Danio rerio: one gene and its partners. The protein of the gene in region 6 purifies or fractionates together with the protein of the main gene of each other region. This does not show direct contact. Links are inferred from orthologs where the notes say so. Each region holds a gene or a part of one and is shown on either strand. Other genes may lie near its edges.

Region 1 (4,267 bases), on a different chromosome or scaffold from region 6:
GAAATCAACATGTCAAGCATTACAATAGTAAAAGTGTGATACAGCTTTAAATTGTTCTTTCTCTCTACATTTAAATGTACCCTGCTCAATTTTATTGTTTTTATTTTTTTTTTTTTACCATTATTTAAGATTTATTTCTTGTCACATCAGTAACAGTAATAAAAGTAACATATTACATATTGACAACTACATGCAGCAATAAGAGAAAACAAAACATTAAATATGATTTTTTCATTCTCCACTATATGGAGTAAGATTACAATATTATTTCACCAGTGGTTTTTATCAATTACTTGACAATTTAATTCAAACAGCAAAACAGTACGTCTTGCGTATAAACCTACATACACCTACTTATACATTCAATTTAGCCTTGTACTAATTTAATTACTAAAGTCCTTCATGCTATAACGAGTAAACACAAAACAAGTAAGAATAATTCATTAAAAAATAATTAGGGTGACATTTATATCTTAGAACATTTTCCCCCATTAAAGTGTCCAGTCTAGAAAAATGTTTAGCAGTTTTAGAAGCCTGACAAGAAATGATTAACTGTATATGCTTTACTATAATATTCAGATATGAAGTCAGAATCATTAGCCCCCCTTTGAATTTTTCTTTTTTTTTTCTATTTACTAAATGATGAACAGAGCAAGGAAATTTTCAGTGTTTGATATTTTTTTCTTTTGGAGAAAGTCATGTTTGATTTATTTCGGCTAGGATAAAAACAGTTTTTAATTAAAAAAAAAATATTTTAAGGTCAATATTATTAGCCCCTTAAAGCTATATTTTGTTTTAATACTCTACAGAACAAACCATCATTATACACTAACTTGCTTAATTACCCTAACCTGCCTAGTTAACCTAATTAACCAAGTTAAGCATTTAAATGTCACTTTAAGCTGTACAGAAGTGTCTTGAAAAATATCTAGTATAATATTATTTACTGTCATCATGGCAAAGATAAAATAAATCCGTTATTAGAATTGAGTTATTAAAACTATTGTTTAGAAATGTGTTAGAGATTTGTTAGAAATTGTGGTGTTAGAAATTTTATCTCTGTTAAACAAAAATTGGGCAAAAAAATAAACAGGGGGGCTAATAATTCAGGGGAACTAATAATTCTGACTTCAGCTGTATATTGTACATAAAGTATAAATATTGTAAATAGCATCCATATATCATATTAAAGTAAAGCATATATATCATACTTAGATCTGTAAAAGGACCTTTTATTATTAGATTTTGTATAAGCTGGGTCATTTCCCATAGCATATCATCTCCAGAACAGTATGCACACATGCTCATTTTTGTAATGGCACATAAAATGTACACACAGCTTGGAAAAGAGGATTTTTAAATTTTTTCTAATGTGCATTTCAATGTATTTGTAAGGCTGTACATTTATCCATGTTTATATACGAGCAAATCAATGCATTTAAACAAAGACAGAAAGAAAATGCTCTTGCTAGTGTTGTGGTTGTGTTTTAAAAGGGGAGAAGAAGAATATCAAGCTAAGCTCACCAACAACACCAGTGGTTCCATCTCCAATTTCATCATCTTGAGACTTGGAGAGCTCAACCATGAGCTTGGCAATCTGATGGTCCACATCCATCATGCTGAGGATCGTCGCACCATCATTGGTCACGGTCACCTCACCATCCTTATCCACCATCATCTTGTCAAGTCCTGTAAAGAACATTTACCAGCATTAAAAAAAACAGCATGAAATAAACTAGGAAGAGTACATGCAAAATTAAAAACATACCATTTGGACCTAGCGATGTTCTCAGGGTGTTAGCAACTGCTTTTGCTGCAAGAATGTGAGACTGAAGAGAACAGAAATAACATTGATGTCAGTAGATGCCACGCCAAGCTTATGCTTGGTTTTGGGCTTGGGAGGCTCAAATGGGTAGGCAAGAATGGCAATTTACGGTTTTAAGGGAAAGATAATGTGCATTTCTGGTAGAATATCTTATATAAATTTAATGTATATGTATGTATGTATATATAAACTAAAAATTTGTTAGTAAGGCGTGTCTCAAATAACAACCCAATCCTCTTTATAGGATTTTTGTCAAATAATAGAACTGAAACTATCATTATAAAACAAGGCAAGACACTGCAAGCCCCCAAAAAACACAACAAAAACATGCACCTGTCCGTTTAGAAAAGTTTGGCTTTTTGCAATTCTTTATGCAATCAAACAATTGGGGGAAGTAGAGTGATAGCTATCATCATTACTTATTTATTAACAACATTCAACTGAAGTATATTGCCACAAATAAAATGTGATGAAGACATGTCTGATGAATGAATGAAGGCATTGCGCATTATGACTCGACGTCTTTAGACTAGACTAGAGGAAGCACATGGACCATCCCTTGACATGCGCACATTGTTGATCACGTTAGACAAATAAATGTGCAATAACTGAATGCATTCTTAACATGTCAGACTGCAGAAGTACGTTTTCATAAAGAATCAATCTACAGTATACAGTAAATGCGGTATTCTGGATTACAGATATGATTAAAATCTCCGTTATAGCCCATTAGCCCGTTAGCTTTTGTAACGTTACCTTCAGTGCTTCCAGGCCAGTCAAGCGAGATTTCTTGTCCTGGTCCTTTATGATGATGAAAGGCCTTCCATATTCATCGAAGGCGAGAGTCCCAAGCGCGGACATGTTTAATTTCCACCCCAAAGAAATGCACAGTTATGAAAAGTGATGTTATACTAGAGAATTTAATCCTCTAGCTGCGCACCTCACCGCGCGGATCTGCCGGCTAGTTCTGGAAGAATCTCGGGGAGGGACGGACCAAACCAAGTTGACAATGTTAAAACATCCACATTTTTGTACATTACATTACCATTTAATCCCTAATTAAATAACAATATTAAACATTTAAGACAATTATGAAGGAGAAAAAGCAATTAACGAATCTTTAAATAATTTTTTTAAATTGAAGCATATTAATGGTTTATTCCATTCTCGCGATAACGACAACAAATAACGCGAGTGCGGGTACAGATTTATAATTCATGCAGATTGACTAACAAATAGACGTTACAAAATTGATTTGTGTATGTGCACACGTACAACTTGTGTATTTGAGAAAGGCCATGTGCTCGTCGTTGGTAACGTAATTTCCGATTACCTGTTCCTCCCGTTCATGCTTCTGACAGCACACCAGTGTGGATTTCAGTATGTTACATGACCGAAGAGGCTGTTTGTGTTGTTATTTGCAAAAGCAAGGTGACTTTTTTCTCTCTCCATCATTTACGTTTTACATTTGTGACCGACATTTGTTTTTGAAGTGTCTTTGTGAGGTCTACATGACTTTAAAGTTAGACTTGGTGAAGCTACAGCTTGTTTTGATATCTTTTTGGATATCTCTTATAAAACTTATGCAACATTCACATGATCAGGGTTGCTTGATTTCCGTTTGCACCTGTATATTATAATGATTCTTTTTACATTACAAACGTACACAGATTAGGTCATATTTAAAGTAAATTGTTTCATTATATCATACAGTACATACGTGTAATAAACTAAAAGAACTTCTCACAATCACAAAATGTAAATACAGAGGTTCCTTTAAAAAAACGAAGCTCATAAATAAACATTTCAATGAAAAAAAAGGTTAATTGAACATAAATGATCATATGCTATGCAACCTTCTTTTGGAATTTATTTATGTTTTGAATAATATATTTTATTGAATAATAATTATTAATAATTTTTAATAATTAACTAATTATTGTTTAAAAGCATATAAATAATACTTGTGTTTAGTATGTTAAATTATGATAATGTTCTAAAAATAATAAACCCTCATCAAGTAATGGCATATTTGCTTTTCCACATTTGCCCTCTACATTTAGGATTGGTTTTTGTTGATAAACGTGCCAGTATGCTTATTGACAAACCATTTCTACAAGTAACATGCATTTGAAAGTGGTTTATGCCTGTCAAATTAATTTACTTGTTTTAAAAACCTTTTTAGTACTGTTTATTTTAGAAATTCTGTAGATATGAATGTGGACAGAGTTTGAGCAATCATGAGATTTATAAAGTGATTAAGTAAAAATATACTTCATTAAATTTACTTGATTTCAGTTGACTAAATATGGTTGATATCTGCAGTTATGCTTTTTTTTTTTTAATTATTCATCAAATAAAAACTAGAAATGTATAAAAACAGATATATAAATCAGATTTTTAATGTGGATCATTTTGTGTTTTTCAATTCATTTCTCAATT
Region 2 (4,215 bases), on a different chromosome or scaffold from region 6:
TTCCCGTAGGGGTGATACCTTGCCAAACCTAGACCAGGTGACCCTCGCAGGGACAGGGAACTTGGAAGTGCCCCTGGGCTGCTAGGAGGAGGCAAGTGGAGGTGGCAGGAAGCAGCAGAGGAAACAGAAGAAGGATAGCCCGAAAGCAGCTTCCCATCCACACCTGGCAGAGCCGTGTGTGTACGCAAATGGGCCAGGAGTTCCTCTGAGGTGGCAAAGCGTTTGTCACATGGGCCACCCACTGAGACCCAGTTACAGGCGTGAGGGAGTGTTTCATTGGGCAGCATGAAACCGTAGGTATACAGAGGATGGGACAGAGATGAGGTGGCACTAGAGGACAGAGAACTGGGGTGGAGTGAGTGGAGGTGATGGGTGGGATACATTAGAGGAAAGCCAGACTTAAGGGCTGATGATGGATCGTGAACGCAGGAAGAGCAGTTGCTGCCCCCGAGGTGGGGTGCATTGGGGTAGGTCAGGCAATATGGGTCCCTGCACAAGCCCTGCATGAAAGAGGGAGGTGAGGCCCCTGTGAGAGGACTGGAGCTGGGGTGCTTTCCTGGAACACCCATCCCTAAACTAGATTTCGCTGGATCCAACCCAGGCACAAACTGAGATGGATAGCCGGTATAGGCCCCGACAATGGAGCCGTGGTAGCCCATGGTGGAGGACGGGAGGGGAAAAACGGAGTGGCCTGGTTTGAAGGGTGACACAGGGGCGATGTGGCCTGTGCCCAGGCTGGGCTGAGGGGGTTGGGAGTCAGTCTTACTGTCCGGTTGAGGACTGCTGGAGGAACTGGCACTGCTAGAGTTCACACTAGCACGTGCATGACTGGAGTTGGCGATTTGTACAACGTCCAGGCTTGATTTATTGTGGTCCGAATCTTTTTTGCCATTGCGATCACTACCACTGCTGCTGCTGTCATTCCCTGGGTCTGAACCTGCAGCTTTGGAGTCCATGTGGGTGGTTTGTAGATGTGCTGTTTTCTGTGAAAGAGGAGACTGAGACTGCCGGTGTGTGTGTGACTGTCCAGATGTTTGCTGAGGGGAGCTGGCCCGTGGAGATGGGGCATGCGGAGGTAAAGACGTGCACGTCACAGATGAAGAACTGCCATTTGGCACTCTGAACCCCGCTTTATCTGCTGAGCTGTTGATCCCAGCACCCTCCTTTCGGCATTCTGATCCAGTTTTAGAGTAAGGCTTAAAGCTGGACTTGTCATCTAGGTTCTGATGCTCCCCAGACTTCAGGCTAGAGCTGCTGGAGCGGCTGTCCTTGTCTCCATGGCTGCTGGAGGAGAGGGATCCCAGTTTAGAGGAGGGAGGAGGATCTGGCTTTCCGATCTGAGAGCAGGTCTGAGCCAGCAATGCTAGGGGACTCTTTTTAGCATCCAGCTATGGGAAAAAAAGAAGAAATTTTAAATGAATGATTTTGGTTTTCTTACCACCAACAAAATGACACTTCATTTATAGACCAATTTTTTGGCATGCCCTCAGTGATATGTCATATTTCAAGGAAGATGCAATAATTCTATTTACGCTTGGATTATTTATAAATGACATCATCATCATAAAAAACTCGCATGGATATTAAATTTTATTTTAAATGATGTTAATTTGCATGTCAAGGGTGAATTAAATCACTTGACATATTGTTGTAGTTTTTGCAGCACTCAAAGTGTGCCGAGCATGCAGAGTTTTATACAGGTTATTAAAAAGATTGCACAATTTACTTTTTTAAAGTTCCATTTGTGTGCCAAAAAAGCACGTAGATGCTGGAAGCTTTAACCACCTAAGAGCAGTAAAGGCGCACGTCAGTAGCGATTAAGGAAATGTGAAACCTTAAAATGTTGCCAGAGCACGGCCTCATCTAAATCCGGACTATTTCTTCAAACTGCCGCTGAATCGCTTTCAGGATCTTTCGGCTAAATCCGAATTACATATTAAAACGAGCCGCGCAACATGGAGCTTAGAGCTAAAAAACGTTGACGCAAAATATTGCGTGTACTACACGACTCGGGCACAAAATAAAGAGAACACCCTTTCGCTTTATAGAAACTAGGACAAACACGCAACTCTAACACATACAAATGTAATGTATATATTTTTACTTCGCAGAAGTAAGAAACAAATGGTTTAGAAGTCGTACCTCAATGCTCACGGGCGCCGAGCTGAGCGGCTGGAGATACTCTGGGTGAAGTATGTGACTTGTGTGAGCGGTCAACATTTTGAGAATCCGTATAGGCAGCCTTTTCTCCTGACGCGCGGGATCACGGTACGGCAGTGAGGCGATCGAGTCGACCTGGAGTCCTAAACAAGTGGGCGAACTATCGTTGGTAATGTAATGACTTTTAAAGGTCTGCTGGTTCCGTGGACTGACTGCAAATCCAGGAGGCAGTTCGCTCATCTGGATCGGGGCGGATCAGAGACCTGTCGAGGGCAGCGACGGGGCGGGTGTTCAGTTTTCATTTAGAGATATCCAGTGTTTTCAGTATAGAGCCAAACGACATTATATCCCGTGAAATATCCAGTTGAAACATCAGCTCTGCCTGTAGTCCAGAGAAAGAGAGCTGTTACAGTGTCTATGAAGAAGAACGTACACTCCGTCTCCACATCGTTCCGTCACCGAATCGGTGTTGCTCGAAACCCCAGCAGGATCGCGAGTCCTTTACGCGCAAACGACGACTTGACAAATATGAGAAGTATTGTGTACTTGTCTTAAAATAAAAAGAAACAAACAACAAGGCAGAATATCGTGTCAAATAATGGCATTCCGTTGGTCCGTGCGCTCTCCGGTGTGTGTTCACTACACCCTCCGTACGCATATACACTGTGCTCGTACGGGAGATCTGAGGGAGAACTTCAAAGCGCTCAGCCGCCGTCCAATCACATGCATCTGCATCGGTAATAAGTGGGTAGGCACAACAGAGGCGGAGACTGTCCTCCTCTTTCCTCTGACTCGCTCCGGACCCGCTGGCCAAGTGTTTGATCGTTGTATGTCAAAACACGCAAAGGCTGTGGCATGCCGGTTTACCATTTATTTGATATATTATTGCCATTTTTTACTGGTATTTATTTTGTAGTTTTACATTTAAATACTACTGCTGAATGTAAACACTTATAGTTATAATAAAAACTATAGTATAATCAATAGTATCTTGTTTGTTTTCACAATCTATTGCAATCTTCAACTCTATTATACTTTACACTGTTTATTTGTTTGCTAATAGGCATGGGCTGGTATAAGATTCTAATGGTCATGATAACACTAATGGTCACGATAACAAAGGTTTCACGGTGACGTTATTGTGATTACTGCTCTAAAATATGTTCTGTGAAAAATACCAACAACTTTTTATTCCTTGAACACAATATATTTTATTTTACCAACATTTAAAATGTTTTAGAATTGTAAACATGTCAAGCTAAATAATTAAAATGAATCATTAACTTCTGCTATTTATTAGTTAACACAACACAGATTTCTTTACAACCTGAAAAGGCATCTTTGGATATCTGTCTTTACTTTGAGTATGAAGTAAGTAAGCCACTGCACTGTTCAGATGCTGGATGTTGGTTTATAAGCAATTTGTATCTCAGCTGTTTGCTGAATCATGTGCTGACTAGTAGCTTTTGATTTGGAGGATCCTTTTTTGCTGAAGCTACTGCTGCCCTTAAAAAACTAAATAACTGTAAAACATGTAAAAAAAACACTTAAGGAAAGGTATAACAGATTTTTTGTTTGCGGTTTTAAAACCTTGACTTTTCCAAACTGCGGTAAAGGGTTATTATCCCATGCCTATTTGCTACTATTTTTGCCTGCTATTATTATTATTTTTAAATTTTTTTTGTCGATCCAATCATGAGTTGACATTGCTAAATCTGAAATGTTGTGAGCTTGTCCACTTTCAGCCACTTTCAAAGGCAGTTGAAAACACATTAGACAGGATTGCTTTCAAAGTGTAAATGCTCATGTGGTCGAATGCGCTCAGAGAGCTGCACACAAACAAAAATAAAACCTAATTTATAAACATTAGTGCTTTTGAAGTGCACTGGCCAGACAAGATTTCAATTAAATCATCTGAAATCACAAGTCTGGTTTGAAATTTAGAAAGCACAATGATTTATCATCAATGCATTAAAGCTATTTTTATAGCGTTTTTCATCTATAATACAAAATACCCCTCATCATACTACATTAATTAGTGAAAAATGTATTTCT
Region 3 (3,226 bases), on a different chromosome or scaffold from region 6:
GATCCTGTTCCGGAAAATTCCCTTCCAGTAATATTTTGAGTCATCCGGCATTAACATGTGCTTAGTGAATACCTGCATCTGTGTGTGTGAGAGATTGTGAATGAGTGCCAGTGAAAAACACAAAGCAACGCTGTGTGGATTGTGTACACCCACACACATAAAGGTCGTCACCAAGCCAAAGTTAAAGCAGAAGGCATGTTTTACTATTGGCCCTCAACAATATTTTTGACCAGTCAGCTTTCTTGCATTTACAGTCACTCTCATTGGTTGATGATTACTGTTTTAAAAATAAATAATGGGATAGTGGCCTACCTAAATTATATTTGTATTTTCAAAATGGCAAAGAGGAAGTATGTTTTTAAAACAGTAAATCTAATAATGAGCCTGATTAAAAAAAGATCTCTGGAAGATGGAACTGCATCCCTGGATCAGGATAGCGGGAGACAGAAGCAAAGCAATCAAGTCAGGCAAAAAACAGGATGGAAGAGGTAACCGTGGGCTGTTCTTGAAGATTAGACGGTGAGTATTTTAATTTTTTTTTCCACTTGTCACATAATAGTGAAGTGAAATGAAAGTCAGTGGTATTAGTAAACTGATCACCATTGGTGCTATCACCGTTTAGTGATGTCATGTTCCTGGAAACCTGAAATTGTGGTGGGTGCCGGTCACAGTAACTTTTATATCCTGGTATTGTTCTGGAAATTGTTCATTTACAAATTAAGCACTGCATGCATCCTTTGCTATTTGCTCAAAACACTATAACTGTGCCAACAAGAAACATTCACCTCAATACTGAACCCAAATTGAAGGAACTCATAAAAAAAAATGTTTCTTCTTTTTTTTATTTTGACATCAGTGCCTTTCAATTCTCTCATTCTGGACATTTCATTCGTCCCCCAAAAACCACCTGGATGCAACACCTCAAGAACTTGATTAAACGTAACAAGATGTGAAACTGAACAGACATCACTGGAGTAAACCGGACAAGATTTGTAGAAATGTCCTGTCCTGTTAGAGATGGACAGTCTATGAGGTCAAGTCCACCAGCTAAAGGTTTCAGCTCTCGTCCGCCTCTAAGTTGATGTTGTTTCCAAACTTGGCGTATAATTGAACCTTTAAATCTCCCAGGACCCCCTGTATGGATGAGACGCGACCTTCCAGAGCCTTGATCTCTTCCTGCAGAGCTTCCTGTGGATAACAGGAGATCAGCAAACAGGGTTCAAAGCAGACATTGGGCTAGTATAAATTGAAAAAAGAATTGTTTCTGCAAAGCAAAGACAAGTAGAGGCCATTTATCTGGAAACTTGTTTATTTACTTATCCGGAAAGTATTCATAGCGCTTCACTTTTTCCACATTTTTTATGTTACAGCCTAGAGCTGCACAATTAATCGAAAAAAGATTGTGAAAAAAGATTCGACCCCCTAGACCAGTGGTTCTCAAACTTTTTTCACCAAGTACCACCTTAGAAAAAAATCGTCTCTCCAAGTACCACCTTACGACGCTATTTTTTTAACCAGTATTAAAAAATAGCGTCGTAGGCCTAATTAAGCAGCTACAGGTGTGCACAGTTTAAAAACGATGCAGATTACTTCCTATTATTAAGAATATGTATTATTGTCAGTCACTTTAAACATTTTAAATAGTCTGAACATTAACTGTGCTTGCAGATAAAAAAAAAGTTTTAGTTAAAATGTGCTTTTAAAAATTCATTAAAAAATGGCGCTGTTCTTAAAAAGTAAAAAGAAAACTGCTGTACTTAAATCTGAAGTATTCATAGTAGCCTATTCATCAAAAGCTGGAAATGCTGCTTGGACCTTATAAATATAGGCTATATGTCATATTGCTACACTTTCAGACAAATCTTGAAATATATGTTAAATGTATATGACAGGGTTCATACAGGCACAGCCTAATGAAAATGAATTCCAGAACCTTCTTTTTTTTCAAGACTGACATGCTATGTATTGAAGACCTGAAATGTATTCTGTATGCAACCCATAAAATATTGCATAGGAATAGATACAAATAAAAAACATTAAAAATAATATTTATTAATCATATATTAATAATATAATAAACCTGCACTAAATGCTTGTGAAATCTTTTTTGTACTCAAGTAAAAATACTATTGCACTGCTAAAATAACAACATTTTTAGTAAATAATGCTAATATTTGGTAAAAGTACAAAGTACTCTTTTAAAAAGTACTAGTTGGTTACTTTTGAATAAAAAATCAGATTTTCATTATGAAATCACTTTTTTTAAGTGTAAACCTGATTTAATGGTTTGATTGCTTAAATCCCAAAGCTACGTGTATAGGAATATGCACTAACAAAGGAAGTATGGTCGATTTTTCCTTTCATGACAATTAATCTTTTTCAATAGCACTGGTAAAACTACCAAATAATCTTTAAGGCCATAGAGACACTTTTTGCCCATTTTTTAAAAAATATATTTTTAAGCTTTGAAAGGTTAAAGTATATGGTAAAAAGATTTTTATTTAGCCTTTTATTTACATATTTTACACTATTTTTCTTTACAATATGGCAAATTTGTTTCTTCAATAGCTGTACATCACATGTAGATTTTATTTTACACTTGATCTTAATCTAAAATAGAAACGTAAAAAAAATACAAGTACACTGTCAGTAAAAAATAAAACAAATGACTTTATTTTACTTGAGGTATTTGAAATGTGACAACAATACATTTATCAAAGCAGTGCTTTAAGAGTCTTATTGTAAATTTTGATAAATAAACAATAAGTAACAATGGATTGCTTTGATCTGTAATGCTTTAGGACAGATCAGAATACAGCTAAATGTATAAATCACACATATACCTCATCCAGAAACATTTCCAGCATAATTCTTTTGTCGTAAAGAAACAAAAAAGCTCCACCTTTGCTAAAGTTTCACTTGACAACACAGCCAAATAAGAAGACCATTAGCATTGTTATCGATCATGCATCAATCTATTTCTAAATACTTCATAACTTTAAATACTTTTGACTAAATTTAGTCAAGGAGCAAAGATAAATAATGTCTACTTTAATAGTGGAAAGATCGCGATTGTATTCAATCTGAGCACACAGGCGATCATGAGAGGACTTGCAGTTCATTTGAAAAAAAGCCTATTTAAGAGCTCGCATATCTGTTTTAGTGATTTGCGTACATGAATGGGCTCTCGTGTTAAAATAAAGCACTCGCCACGTTTGCAGAAATA
Region 4 (4,285 bases), on a different chromosome or scaffold from region 6:
TTTAAGAAATATATAGATAAATAAAACTTATGCAATCTGCACTCCGAAATAAGTACAAAGACTGCCACCTGGTGGTTCAAAGAGAAAATGTATTGATATGAACTTTTTAAATACAATGCAAATGCACAATATTCAACTTTTTTAAAAAAAGGATACTGATTTATGCAGTCATGCACATGTTGTGATCGCCAATATGCCGGTGATATGTTGCTTCACAAAAGTTGCAGACACCTTCACCTTTATCAAAATGCTTTTTTGATGGAAAATTAATTCATACAGTTATTCCTTACTCCAATTAAAAAAAACTTGAGTAGGCCTAAGCTACTATAATAAAGAAAATCTTCTCTAAATGTAGAACTAAATACATTGATATGCTTTAAAATACATAATGAATACTCTTGACACATGAAAGTGTTAAGCCTGCAGCTCACAACAAACCGTTTACTGCTTGTTTGATGTAATTTTGCTCACATGGATAATTGAATATTATTCAGATGATGTCATTACGCTGCTGTGCCGTCAGCCAATCGTTGCATTGCTGATCATGATTTCGAGGATCGATGGATCTGTCCTTCACAACACATGCAGCGATCTCAGATCAGTTTATCCAGACATTCTAATCGGATTCGCAAACTTGTTTGAAGAACCAAATTAGCCAGAGATCAGTTATCAAGATGAAAAGATCCAGGATCTGCCAAATCATCTTATATCATTTAAGCGAGGTACGAAGAACGGACCCCAGATCTATTTTCAGTTGTTAGACACCCACATGAAAATATACGACAGTAATCTATAGTAAATAAAATTGTGATTTTTAACCATACTGACATCTCCAATAGATAGAGATGTTGCACAAACACCTAAAATATTGCCAGAATTGGTCTTTATGTATGTGTGATTTATATTGCATCACCAAAAATGATTGAGGTCATGTCCATGTGTTGTACGCTCAGTCGTTATATTGATTATTGTGACAGGCTTACTTGAAAATAGTGAAAAAAGAAATACAATAAAAATGTACTGTATTTTTATCAGCTATGGTGAACATAAGAAACATGTTTTTCAAAAGACAAGAAAATCACCTTGTTTCATGGCATATTTTTCTTGAAGAGCAGGCTGAATCTTTTCAATTTGTTTAGTAAGGAAGTCGATTTTGCGTTTAAAGAACTCTTTGCCGTCCTCTACATTCTGAAAAGACAGAAAAGGCAATGTGATTTACTCAGTTTTGACATTTTTACATATACTAAAACTACTAGACTGATTCTTACTCACCTTCTCCACAAAATAACCTGTTCCCACATCCACTAACACATGATCCACATCATGCAGCTTTCCAGGTACATACATCTACATGACTGAGGTTAAGGGAATAACGGACCACTGCAAATTAATTACACACACATCAAACTGTCTGTGTGACTTTCTTATGTGGCATAAATCAATCAGAACTCATTTATAACTCAGCTGTTTAGAGGATACAGAACTGGTGAGAGGGACGAGTAGTTCTTTACCTGAGAGAAAAAGTAAAAAAAAATTAGCAAACGTCAGATTTAGCTAAAAACGTCATAAAAGAGTTTTAAAAGTCACCTTCATTGCTCTTGTTAAGCACATTCAAACTGTCTTTGGCCTCCACATATTTTGTTTGGACGACTTTCAGCTGAGCTATAGACGATGACAGGAACTCTGTTTCCTAGAAAACACATTTTTAAGCAATTTATACAAAATAACGTGTAAATCTACCTTGAGATGTCCCTTTTTGGTGTCTCAAAGTAAATTAACATTATTGCATTTATATTCACAGAAAGCACACTGAACGCAAGCAAAGTGTTAACTTAAATGTTTCAAATAACTTTTGTAAAAATAAAATCAAAAAATGAGTGAAAATCTATCAAATAATTAACAATAATAATAATTTAGGAAATAATGTCAGGGTAATTCAGAGCAACATATATATTTATTTAAAAATGGGAAAAACATAGTACTTATTCTGTACTAGGTATGGGGCGATAACTGTTTGCAAGGTAAACCGGCAAGGTTTGGAATAGTCAAGGTTTTAAACCTTAAAAGTAAAAATTAGTAAAATAAAGGGTTTGAAGGATAGTGACAAATTATGCATGTTTAAAAAAAGAAAAATAATTAGAATTTGGGAGCTACAGTTCAACCTTTAAATAGTTAAATGCCATCAAAATAATCTTGGTCTAAAAATATGGCTGCCCAGAATTTTTAATATATATAAACTATTGTTATGACATTTTTGTTGGGGTCTTCTGTAAAATACAGTAAAATAAATATGACGGTCAAAATAAAACAGATAATCAGGACACATGTAAACTTCAAAAGTTTACTCACAGAAAAACAAAATTAGTCTTTTAAATTAATCTTATACAGATTATAGACTTGGTACCAAAATATATTTCAAACTGTGAACTCGTTAAAATAAAACCAAGTTGTGTTTAGTGAGAACTGACTGAGACACCATTCACATACAATGCAAGTGAACGTCGATAAAGTCATTCTGCATCTCATTTTCTGTCATACGGAATAAATGCAGCCATGTGGACAATCATAGAGGGCTTTTTTTCCGCATTACCAGCAGCAGCAGCACGCGCACAGACAGCATGACAACCGCAGCCCGTCAGTAAATTAATTCACTGACAGAAAAACAGCAGCACCTGATGCTACTCGGACATACGAAACGATGATGTTTTTTATTTTTAACACAATTTACCTGATCAAGCTGAGTTTTCAAGCCTTCTAATTGTGGAAGAGACAATTCAGTGAGATTCACCGCCATGTTGACAATAAAAGAGGGTGAGGAAAACTTCCGGGTCAAGCGGACGCAACTAAAAGGACTTTTACCATTGATTTTTTTCCATTACACACTACAGTCATTTGTTATACTTTAACAAATAAAACGTCGACTAAATAAACTAACAGTGCATTTATACAGCATGTATTAACATTACCTTAAAAAAAAAGGGAGATGACCAGCTAAAACCAGCTTGACCAGCCTAGCCAAGCTGGGAGTCCAGCCAAAACCAGCTATATCCAGCTTAAACCAGGCTGGGCAAGCTGGTTTTAGTTGGATTTGGCTGGTCATTTTCCAGCCTGACCAGCTAAGACCAGGCTGGAAATGGCTGGAAACTAGCCTGGAAATGGCCAAAACCCCTCTAAAACCAGGCTGGTCAACTGATTTTTCAGTAGGGAATGTATTTGATTAGTATGTAAACATGAGTAAATCCTTATTAATCAATTAACAAACTATTCATTGTCAATGCATGTGGTGCACAAATTTCAACTATTTTAAGCCTCATTGTTAAGTATTAGAATAGGTTTGTATTTCAGTAGACATTGAACACTAAAAATACACACCAGTTAAAAAGTGAAGAAAATGTACACAGCTCAAATCCTTATAAAGCTCATGGGCATTCATTAATGTTTGTGTGTGTATGTGTGTGTTTGCCTTTATGTGTTTGGTATTGTCCTGAGTTTTCTCCAACAGGAGTAGTGTGTATTTTACAAAAGCAGAAAATCTCATCTGAAACACTAACTCATGACAGGAAGTCCGTAACACTTGTTTAAATTAATATTTCATTTTTTCAGATTCACCATTAAACCTGGCCGTTCAGCACATAAGAATCACATCAGATCAGGTACGTCAGATATTTGTACGTCTCTGAAAACGCTGTCCCTGACATTTTGAAGACTTATGGGAACACCGATTTCAGTGTTTACAGTCCTTGTTGCCTGTCGGTTTATCCATCAGTCTGCAGTGACAGATGACCAATTCATGTTTTTCCTCCATGTGTACTCCTTTACTAGCACATCCCTCATTTCAGTTAACCCCTGTGTGCTGTTGAGGGTGTTTTCATCCACTCTGGGGTGATTTTGTGTCTTCATTTGGTCAACTTTTTCTGTTTCAACTAGCAGAACGACTTTGGCGACAAATTTAATTTTGACACGTTTTTGGAAAATGCTTTGACATTTTTAAAGAACTTAACGATACACTCTGGGCAATTTTGCTACCCTTTTGTTATGTTTGGGATGAAAACCTCCACTAATTTAAACTGCTGTAAAAATGCATCAGATAAATATGTTTTCCCATAAATCTGTTAATCAACCTCAGTCCCGATCAAAACTACTAAACTGTTTAGGAAATTACAGTTTAAATTCCTAATTACCAAATTCATAAATCTGTCACTGATTGGTGGAAAAACACACAAAATGACGTATTTTCAATACAAAAAGTAATCGTGGACTGGATTTTTTTTAACCTTTTAAAAAA
Region 5 (4,125 bases), on a different chromosome or scaffold from region 6:
ACATTTTCATGACATAATATTTCATGTAATATCTAAAAATAAATGATTAATAATAAGAAAAACAATAACGTTCAAATTTATAACAGCATATTATAGAACACGCAACTAACTAATTTGTTTAAATTAGTTTTTTTATTGATTTTTTTTGATAAAGCTTGCACAGCACTAACAATGTGAGAACAATATTTTGGCCAAGGACAGAAAAGAAAACAACTATCCTATATTCAAGTTAGGGCTGCACAATATATTGTTTTAGCATTGATAAAGTAATGTGTGCATTCACAATAGTCACATCGCAGGATATGCAATATTGGGATGGGATTATAGTTTAATTTAGAGTTTAATCAAAATGAACTAAAAGTTTATCATCTGTATGCATTTTAAAGAGATCGTTCACTCAAAAATTACTTACCATTTTTATTACACCCTTCACTTGTTTTAAACATTTATGAGCTTTCTTTTTTTTAAATAAAGACAAAAATAATATAACCTAATAACTCATATAGTATTGAAACAATTGAAGTGTGAGTAAATAGTAAGTACATTTTAATCTTTGAGTAAACTGTCCCTTTAAGACCTGTGACTGTTAAACATTTCAATATTTCAATTTTTTAAAAATCGGGCCAAAAGAAATTTTTTGGTAACTAAATTAAAGATTAAATAATATAGAACGAAGACTATGCAGTGTTAATTATTCAATATCTGTACCGAAATAGTGAATACCTGAAAACTATAATTCACTTTTATCTTGACTATGTTTTATTTATCTATGCTTGTAATTTATTTGTTATATATTATTCGGGATTCACTCTCTAACAACCCCCCCCCCCCCCCCCCCCCCCACCCCAATCAATCAAAAATAAAACTTTTAAATCATCTGGTGAAATTATATTCTCGTCGCAACATATCACAGAAATACAAAATATTGTAATGTCAGATTGTTCCAATATCGCGCAGCCCTAATTTAAGTATACTGATATTTGTTAAACTAATCTTCATAACTTTTCCAAGCCTGGAAAATGCCATGTCAAAATTCCATGACTTTTCCAGGTTTTCCATGACTGTATAAACCCTGTCTTATGATGAATTAGTCAACTATGGAGGACGCAAAAACAATAAATAAATACGCAAATAAATGAGTAAATAAATCCATAAATTCATGCATAAATAAAACAATAAATAAGCAAAAAAAATGTGTATATATATAAACTTTCTGCATAAATAAATGTATAAATAATTAATAGAGCAGTCAATCATCAGAAGCCAGTAAAAAAAAATTATAGTTTTTTTTTTTTTTAATGAAAAGCAAATGTTTTCTAACGATCAACCAATAATGGCATGAAGACCACTTTCTGATGATTGACAGAACCAGTCTCATTAGCATGTTTACTGAGGAAAGGTAAATACATAACTACAATCAAGAATGAATAAACATTTGGGAGGGGGCGGGGGGTGGAGCTTTCAGTTTACCATTTTCTTATTCCCGTAACATTCGTGTAATTTATTAAATTTTGTACCTGCCTGATTGAGTTATGCAGGAATTTGTGGATTTTTATATACATTTACTCGTTTATTATATATTTGTGTATTTATTTATTAATTTATAGATTTAAAAAAAATAAAGGTTTCATCTTTCATAGCCAACACCTTGACAGAGAAAAAAATCATTAATTAAACATAAATTAAACAAAAAGTTTACTTTTTCTTTCATAAGGTTTTCCACACAGGCTTTAAGTCAACTTAAAGTATGTCAAGTTAACTATGGTAATTTATTTTTTGTTATTTTTTAGCTATGCAAAAGTAACATTGAATACATTTGAAATTTACTTTTAATTCTAGTTAATGAACACTGTGTATTTTTCTTCAAACAACATAATACTGAACACAATCATACTTTTAAAGTGTATGCTTTACTTAAAAAATTGAAATAGTAACAACATTAAAAGATATTCACACAACAATCTAACTGAACAGAGACCTCAATACCTAATACACAATACACAATGACGAGTCTAACTACAATAAAAGCTAACCATATTTCCATTTCAGTTCTACTAATAAAGAATTAAGCAGTAAATAAAAATTAATAAATTAAAAAATAAAACAAACAAAAACTATTACATGGGTAAACAATGCATAGTTTAACTATCAAAAATGCAAAGACTACTATAAATACGTAGTTATTATTTACAGGAATGCAATTACCAAAATAACAGGGTTAAAACACGTGGAAAAGCTTTACACGTTTTGTGACACTATAGCACGTCAGGTCAAAGATAGCTCATGTTTGACTCCAGCTAACGTTAGACATATATAAGTTAAGTTTAACCTGCAATAAAAGGAGTGTCACTCATTACAGTAAATTCATTGTCACAGAATAAAGCAACTAGTGAAGGTTATAACGTTAACGTTAAATTACAATAATTACTTTTTAATAAAGAAATTAACTTTACAGCTTTAACATTTAGCAGTTAGCAAGCTAATTTACATGCGAGGCAAAGTATCAATCCACACAATTACATAGTGTTTAAATTAGGAGTCTTTTGTTCAGTATAAATTTAAAACAACACCTCTCATGGTCTCAGGTTCGGCCTACCTTTTCCTCTTATTTTTGTCCGATTTTAATCCATGAAATTGTAGATATGTAGTAGCGGAAGTACGTTAGGTGAAACTTTAGCAATATTTCAGATTTTCTTTAAGGAATATTTTTGTAATGTTTTTATTTTCCCCCAAAAGTGGGTCGTGTGTACTTTAGATTTGTTGCTGTGTGTGTCCTGCCAAAACGAGTCCAGACAAAGCCAGTAGAGCACAGATCCTTCATAATCAATTACCGAAAACATCGTTCATGAGCCAGCCAATCAGGTTGATCTGTCAAAAAAAAAAACACAGATGAACCAGTCAAGATGAAATCTTGTGCTAAACAGCCAAGTTATATTTACATTCACATTCCGTTGTCCTATATTTATATTTGATCATGGGCAGTTAAGTGATCAAATAATTTTTATTCACATATTCAGTCTTGCTAAATGTTAGATTACACATAAACTAAGTCAAACATATATACCAATTGAATAACAAAAGAGGGGATTTTCATTCAGAATTTTTTTTTCAAATGACGGAGAAGTCATGCACCTTAAACAAAGAGAAAACAATCAACTATTGTTTGCTGTTTTGCTCCAAGTCCTTCTCCGTTCGTGAGAGCCAATCACTGCTCGTGTTTTTGAAGCTGCTGAACACATTGACCAATGGCAGCTCTCCGTTACCCGGAAAAGCTTGCAGCTCGTCTTGTGTTTATCAGCCACGACAGCCAGGCAACGATCTTTCAATGAGGTTACTGTACTGTGCCTCATCCGCTCGTCCGCAAGTATGGATTCCTGTTTTGTGATTGTTGCCTTTCTCTTTGCTTTCAGTCTTTCCAGTGGAGAGAGGACGCTAAAGTTTGTCACTGTGGTGAGTTTAATAATACATCTGTCCTTTAAAAAAACAAACGTTAAGTATGTAACAGACAGTAACTGAATAACCGGGGCCTGAAGCTATTTACAAAACCTTTCGTTTTAAAAACATTGACAACGCGAAGTCTCAGTCAGACCTTTTATTATGTGCCTCGTGTGTTTCTTTAGGGGTGTCATATTTCTGTTATTCAGCTGTGTGCCTTTCTGTAATTACCTGTTAGTTGATGTCTAAATTCGTGTTTCTCTCTCGAATGTTTTGCTTTCTACAGATTTTCGCATTTTCTGTAATTTCGGTAAAATGTAGTTTTCGACTTGATCTTTATTAATTCCTCATTAAAGTACAGATTGAGCAATCTGAAGAGCAGACCGTCACATGACATGTTGTTTTGCTTCATTTCACCTCCCATTTTCGTCAAAGCAATAAAACACCTTTGTAGGTTAAATGTCACCTATTTTTTTTAGTAAGGGTAACATTATTGCTTGGCTTTTAGGTGAGAAAGATCTCTGAAATTAGTAATGCAACTGCAAGCCTATTACAGAATGTCTGTCATATGAACGAATTGGTAAACCAAGGGCTAACTTGTACTGAATCCATTTGTAACGTTAATGGATAAAGATAGAAAAAGTGTCTGCAAGGTAATTTATGGAGCAATTCCATGCAAATGTCAACCAT
Region 6 (4,155 bases):
TCAAGCTGGAATCAAATCATAATTGACTCCATTTATCTCTTAATACACATTCCTGGTCTTATCGTGAACAACAGTAATCCCTGATATATCCTGAACAAAGCTCCACTGGCTTGTAAGAGATTAACATAACGCCAGCCTACAGTCTTCATTAAGTGTCAACAAACACTCAGTTTACTCGGACCCTTTAAAGCTGTAGTATGAGGCCTGGAACAGTTTAGTTTGTGCTGCAGCCATGTTGAGAAGACTTGATCCACTATGCAATCACTTCCAAAAAAAAAAAAACTAGGAATTTGCAAGGGATATGGTAGAACTGACACTATTGTTTTATCAGTGTGTATACAAGAGCTGAAATTCAGATATGGTCATATATGATTTAAATTCAAAAGTACACTGTTGTAAACAGAATAAGCCATTTGACTAATCAGAACAAGGTAGACTCTTGGAAAGAAGGGGTTTAGAGAGATTGAATCTTTGAACAGACTGATTCAGGTGCTTCATGTAAGACAAAATACTGCTTTGCATATTATGACATGACAGGTGTATTCTTGATCTAGGATGAACTTATTATAGAAGACCTCCAAAACAAAAAGAGCAAACTTTAATATTGCATAATAGGGGCACTTCAGAAACTGTGCACGTGCTCCTCCTGCATACCCTCCATATGCGCAGATAGTCTCCACTGGTTGCCAGTAGGTCTGGATAGACGCCTTTGGTGTCTGGGATCCACATGATCTTGGTGGTGGGGTACGGATGATCAAAAGTGTTTCTGCATACAAACTCTGAGCTCTCCTCCTCAAGACCAACCAGCTGGACCTGAACATCACAAAACAAATAGCATGATGTCATAAGTTTCTGACAGCATGAAAGTAGCACCTTTTTCATTTTTATAGACAATTATATATTTTCCCACTTTATTTTTGTGATCATTTTTGGTTGTGACTGCAAGCACCATATGTTGTGCCAAAAATGTGTTTTTCGGTTACCTGTGGAGCAAATATCTAAAAAAAACCAAATATATTTACCTTCCATTTTCTGCTTTGAAGACTGCTGATTAAATTAGGGCTGGACGATATGGCACAAATGCAACCTCAATAGTTATTTTCAATATTAAACGATGACAATATATATTTTACGATACAAGTTGATAATGCTTCCAGATTTAAAAGAGTACCCCAACAATGACTGAAGCCACAAAATATTAGAGGGTCCATTAAATGGCATAACATATTTTCAGCTGATAAATTTTCAGTTAGAGTTGTGCGATTTGGGGAAAATACCCAATTGCAATTTTTTTGACAGACATTGCGATTTTATTTTTGATTTAATTTTGTAGTCAAGATTCAGCTCAATAATTTGTAAGTTGTGGCAACAACTCTGCGACATCTCTTCAAAATGACCTGTGTTTGTTCCGTGTCTGTGACTGAAACTAAAATATTCCCATATCACGACATGCTGTTTTTCTTTGATATGAATTCTTCTATTAATACTTCAGTTGCAGATGCCATATTCCCACCTTCCTGCATTTTGCTGTTTGTTTCCTTTTTATTGAGGGTTTTCGGCATAGTTTGGTTGTGCAATTCTGTTTAGGCAGAATGAAAGTGTGCTCACTCAATTGGCTAGTAAGACTGTCAAGCTACTACGACAGTTTCAGCGGGGGAAGCTAAATAATACTTCATATCGCAGCCTCTTGCGATTAACTTGTTGCAACGTTTCGAATTGCAATTCGATTAATCGCACAGCGATTTCAGTAGCCGAAAAAATGGTACAGCTCTAATATCATCAAACTTTCAGATTCCCATTGTGGCACATTTCTGCTGTGTGATTGGCTCTTAGATCAATATAGAGTAAAAAAGTCCAGTGCTTATCATTGTTATTTATATTATATAATATTGTGATTCGATATGATATTTATATAATATTATGTATTCATAACTACGTGTGTGGAGGGATGAATAGTGTTTGTAAGTATATGCTGTGAAGTGTACATGTGAGTGGTAGATTTTTTTATGTGATAAAGCACAATAAAATGGCTGTATTTAAATGAATTCTTCTGGTCACTGACATGGGACTGATGATAAAAAAAGAGTCTATATTTATTTTCCCACAAAAAAACAACAACAAAAAAACAGTGGTAATGATTAAATGAAATGTCTAAAATTATTGCATTTTCTGACAATTATCATCAGGACTGGTGCGGGTGGTACAGAAAAATCTGTCAGTGAAAGGGTTTTGAAAGCCCTAGATATACTTCTATTATGAATTTTAGACAGACATTTTGTCCTCTACGAACCTATTCGTAACCTTTAATTCGCACACGCTAAATACAAGATACAAAATAACAGTCGCTTAAAATATACAATTATTAGTGTCTGTCATACATTTGCGCGTTAAAATTCCAACACTGTGGAATAACCTGCACCTTACATGTTTTTAGGCTACACACTTCACTATGTGAAATGATAGCGTGTGTCATAAGATCAGACATAAAGCATAGTGTTGTGTGGCAGCAGGTGTTTACCTTGTTGTTGTACTCCTCGACGAAGCTGCCGAGCGCGAGCCGAAAGCGCTTGTCGGGTCTGACGCTCCAGTTCATAGCATAGACGGTCCATGGCGCCTCGTATTTGTAGATCTCTTTTCGTTTACCGTGCAACGACATGCTTCAATCCCAGTGATCGGCGACAGCTAGAGAGAATTAGGTCGTTAGGAGTAGCTTGATTCGACGGGATGTTTAAAAAAGGCTCTTACAGAGATAAATATGGTCTCGGGTTTGTGCAGCGCGAGACAAAGAGAACGTCATAACAATCCCTCTCCGCAACGGCCGCGAAAACGACGAGCTGCCTACAAAACAGCACGATTCCTGCCTAATAAAACACGCAAATAACCATCAAACATTCATAACTGCGTGTAGCTAAAGGGCCATGTTTTTCCTTAGTCCCGACGGTTTTAATTCTAACTTTAGAAAGCCCTAAATAGGCCCTACCGCTCAACGGCGCATTTGGTCTGAAAGATGTGTGTCTGCGTTTCAAAATAAAAGTCCCGGATAGAAAATGGGGGTTGAGCGCTGAGGCTATTTATAGATCCATGTTGCTAGTTGATTATTTTACTTGCGCATCATACTGGGCGGCATAATGTTTATGAAATTTTGATTAATTTTAGCTCCCTTCAGCCATGGAAATTAGCAAAGTGTAAGATTTTTTTTAAACTGCAAAAACACTAATCGCAGTATGAAAATGTAAAATAAGAGTGAATATCAAATAGAGAATAGAGAAATATGAATAAAAATCTGAAATCTGATTTAAACAGAAGTGATTAGTAAAAATAATGTAAAAAAATGCTTGTAAACATATTTCATTCTCACTTTAAATTTATTTGAGACATTTCAGTGTCCTAATTATCTTTGAACCTTTGAAACCTGCAAAAACACTAAATAGATTAAAATGCAAACATAAATGATAAAATATATAAATAAATTAGTAAATAAATAAATAAATTCTTCATAAATAAAACATTACATAAATTAATATGCAAATATATAAATAAATGAATAAATAAATCCATAAATTATTGCATAAATAAAACATTAAATAAACAACATTTGCAAATTAATAAATGAATATAAATAATATATAATACGAATATAAATAAATGTATATAAAAAATCCACAATTGTTTTTGCATATATAAATATTTAAATAGAACGAGCATGCAAATAATTATATAAATTACGGGAAAAAAAGAAAATGCTAAACTGAAAGTTTATTCATCCCCTCTCTCAAACGTTTATTAGAAAAAAACTTTCAGTGTAGCATTTTTATATTCCCCTCCTGTAATTTATTTAATTATTTGCTTGCCTGCACTATTAACTATTTATATATTTATTTATGCAGAAATCTATGGATTTATTTACTCCTTTATTTATACATTTGCGTATTTATTTATTTATTGTTTTTGTAGGTTTCGCCCTCCATAAAATTGTAATAATAACAATACTATAAATAAATGCACAAATTCCTCCATAAATAAAACAATAAATAAATAAATATTTAGATAAATGAATAAATATACAAATTCCTGCATAAATAAAACAATAAATAAATTATATATATATATATATATATATATATATATATATATATATATATATATATATATATA

Evidence for each region.
Region 1: the proteins of dcaf7 (region 6) and cct5 purify together in Homo sapiens (affinity purification with mass spectrometry; 4 studies listed by BioGRID and IntAct, counting the BioPlex papers as one, with this or other methods). This does not show direct contact. The link is inferred for Danio rerio from reciprocal best matches to the Homo sapiens genes DCAF7 and CCT5.
Region 2: the proteins of dcaf7 (region 6) and znf703 purify together in Homo sapiens (co-immunoprecipitation; 5 studies listed by BioGRID and IntAct, counting the BioPlex papers as one, with this or other methods). This does not show direct contact. The link is inferred for Danio rerio from reciprocal best matches to the Homo sapiens genes DCAF7 and ZNF703.
Region 3: the proteins of dcaf7 (region 6) and pfdn4 purify together in Homo sapiens (affinity purification with mass spectrometry; 3 studies listed by BioGRID and IntAct, with this or other methods). This does not show direct contact. The link is inferred for Danio rerio from reciprocal best matches to the Homo sapiens genes DCAF7 and PFDN4.
Region 4: the proteins of dcaf7 (region 6) and pfdn5 purify together in Homo sapiens (affinity purification with mass spectrometry; 3 studies listed by BioGRID and IntAct, with this or other methods). This does not show direct contact. The link is inferred for Danio rerio from reciprocal best matches to the Homo sapiens genes DCAF7 and PFDN5.
Region 5: the proteins of dcaf7 (region 6) and ambra1a purify together in Homo sapiens (affinity purification with mass spectrometry; 3 studies listed by BioGRID and IntAct, with this or other methods). This does not show direct contact. The link is inferred for Danio rerio from reciprocal best matches to the Homo sapiens genes DCAF7 and AMBRA1.

The regions. Positions count from the first base shown.
Region 1 is NC_133199.1:20,773,283-20,777,549, reverse strand, and holds the start of cct5 (T-complex protein 1 subunit epsilon), read right to left. Parts: upstream 2,801-4,267; 5' UTR 2,687-2,800; coding exon 2,582-2,686; intron 1,830-2,581; coding exon 1,769-1,829; intron 1,690-1,768; coding exon 1,525-1,689; intron 1-1,524. UniProt on the Homo sapiens protein: Component of the chaperonin-containing T-complex (TRiC), a molecular chaperone complex that assists the folding of actin, tubulin and other proteins upon ATP hydrolysis.
Region 2 is NC_133180.1:24,988,491-24,992,705, forward strand, and holds the start of znf703 (zinc finger protein 703), read right to left. Parts: upstream 2,801-4,215; 5' UTR 2,401-2,800; coding exon 2,143-2,400; intron 1,389-2,142; coding exon 1-1,388. UniProt on the Homo sapiens protein: Transcriptional corepressor which does not bind directly to DNA and may regulate transcription through recruitment of histone deacetylases to gene promoters. Regulates cell adhesion, migration and proliferation.
Region 3 is NC_133198.1:41,416,738-41,419,963, forward strand, and holds the end of pfdn4 (prefoldin subunit 4), read right to left. Parts: intron 1,423-3,226; exon of another isoform or gene 1,189-1,422; coding exon 1,057-1,188; 3' UTR 501-1,056; downstream 1-500. UniProt on the Homo sapiens protein: Binds specifically to cytosolic chaperonin (c-CPN) and transfers target proteins to it. Binds to nascent polypeptide chain and promotes folding in an environment in which there are many competing pathways for nonnative proteins.
Region 4 is NC_133181.1:42,215,187-42,219,471, forward strand, and holds the start of pfdn5 (prefoldin subunit 5), read right to left. Parts: upstream 2,801-4,285; 5' UTR 2,795-2,800; coding exon 2,729-2,794; intron 1,691-2,728; coding exon 1,588-1,690; intron 1,512-1,587; coding exon 1,480-1,511; intron 1,348-1,479; coding exon 1,273-1,347; intron 1,189-1,272; coding exon 1,083-1,188; intron 1-1,082. UniProt on the Homo sapiens protein: Binds specifically to cytosolic chaperonin (c-CPN) and transfers target proteins to it. Binds to nascent polypeptide chain and promotes folding in an environment in which there are many competing pathways for nonnative proteins.
Region 5 is NC_133182.1:39,574,568-39,578,692, forward strand, and holds the start of ambra1a (activating molecule in BECN1-regulated autophagy protein 1A), read right to left. Parts: upstream 2,801-4,125; 5' UTR 2,597-2,800; intron 1-2,596. Other genes in the region: acp2 (lysosomal acid phosphatase precursor), read left to right, coding at 3,367-3,450. UniProt on the Homo sapiens protein: Substrate-recognition component of a DCX (DDB1-CUL4-X-box) E3 ubiquitin-protein ligase complex involved in cell cycle control and autophagy.
Region 6 is NC_133178.1:30,506,885-30,511,039, reverse strand, and holds the start of dcaf7 (DDB1- and CUL4-associated factor 7), read right to left. Parts: upstream 2,801-4,155; 5' UTR 2,657-2,800; coding exon 2,519-2,656; intron 814-2,518; coding exon 655-813; intron 1-654. UniProt on the Homo sapiens protein: Involved in craniofacial development. Acts upstream of the EDN1 pathway and is required for formation of the upper jaw equivalent, the palatoquadrate. The activity required for EDN1 pathway function differs between the first and second arches.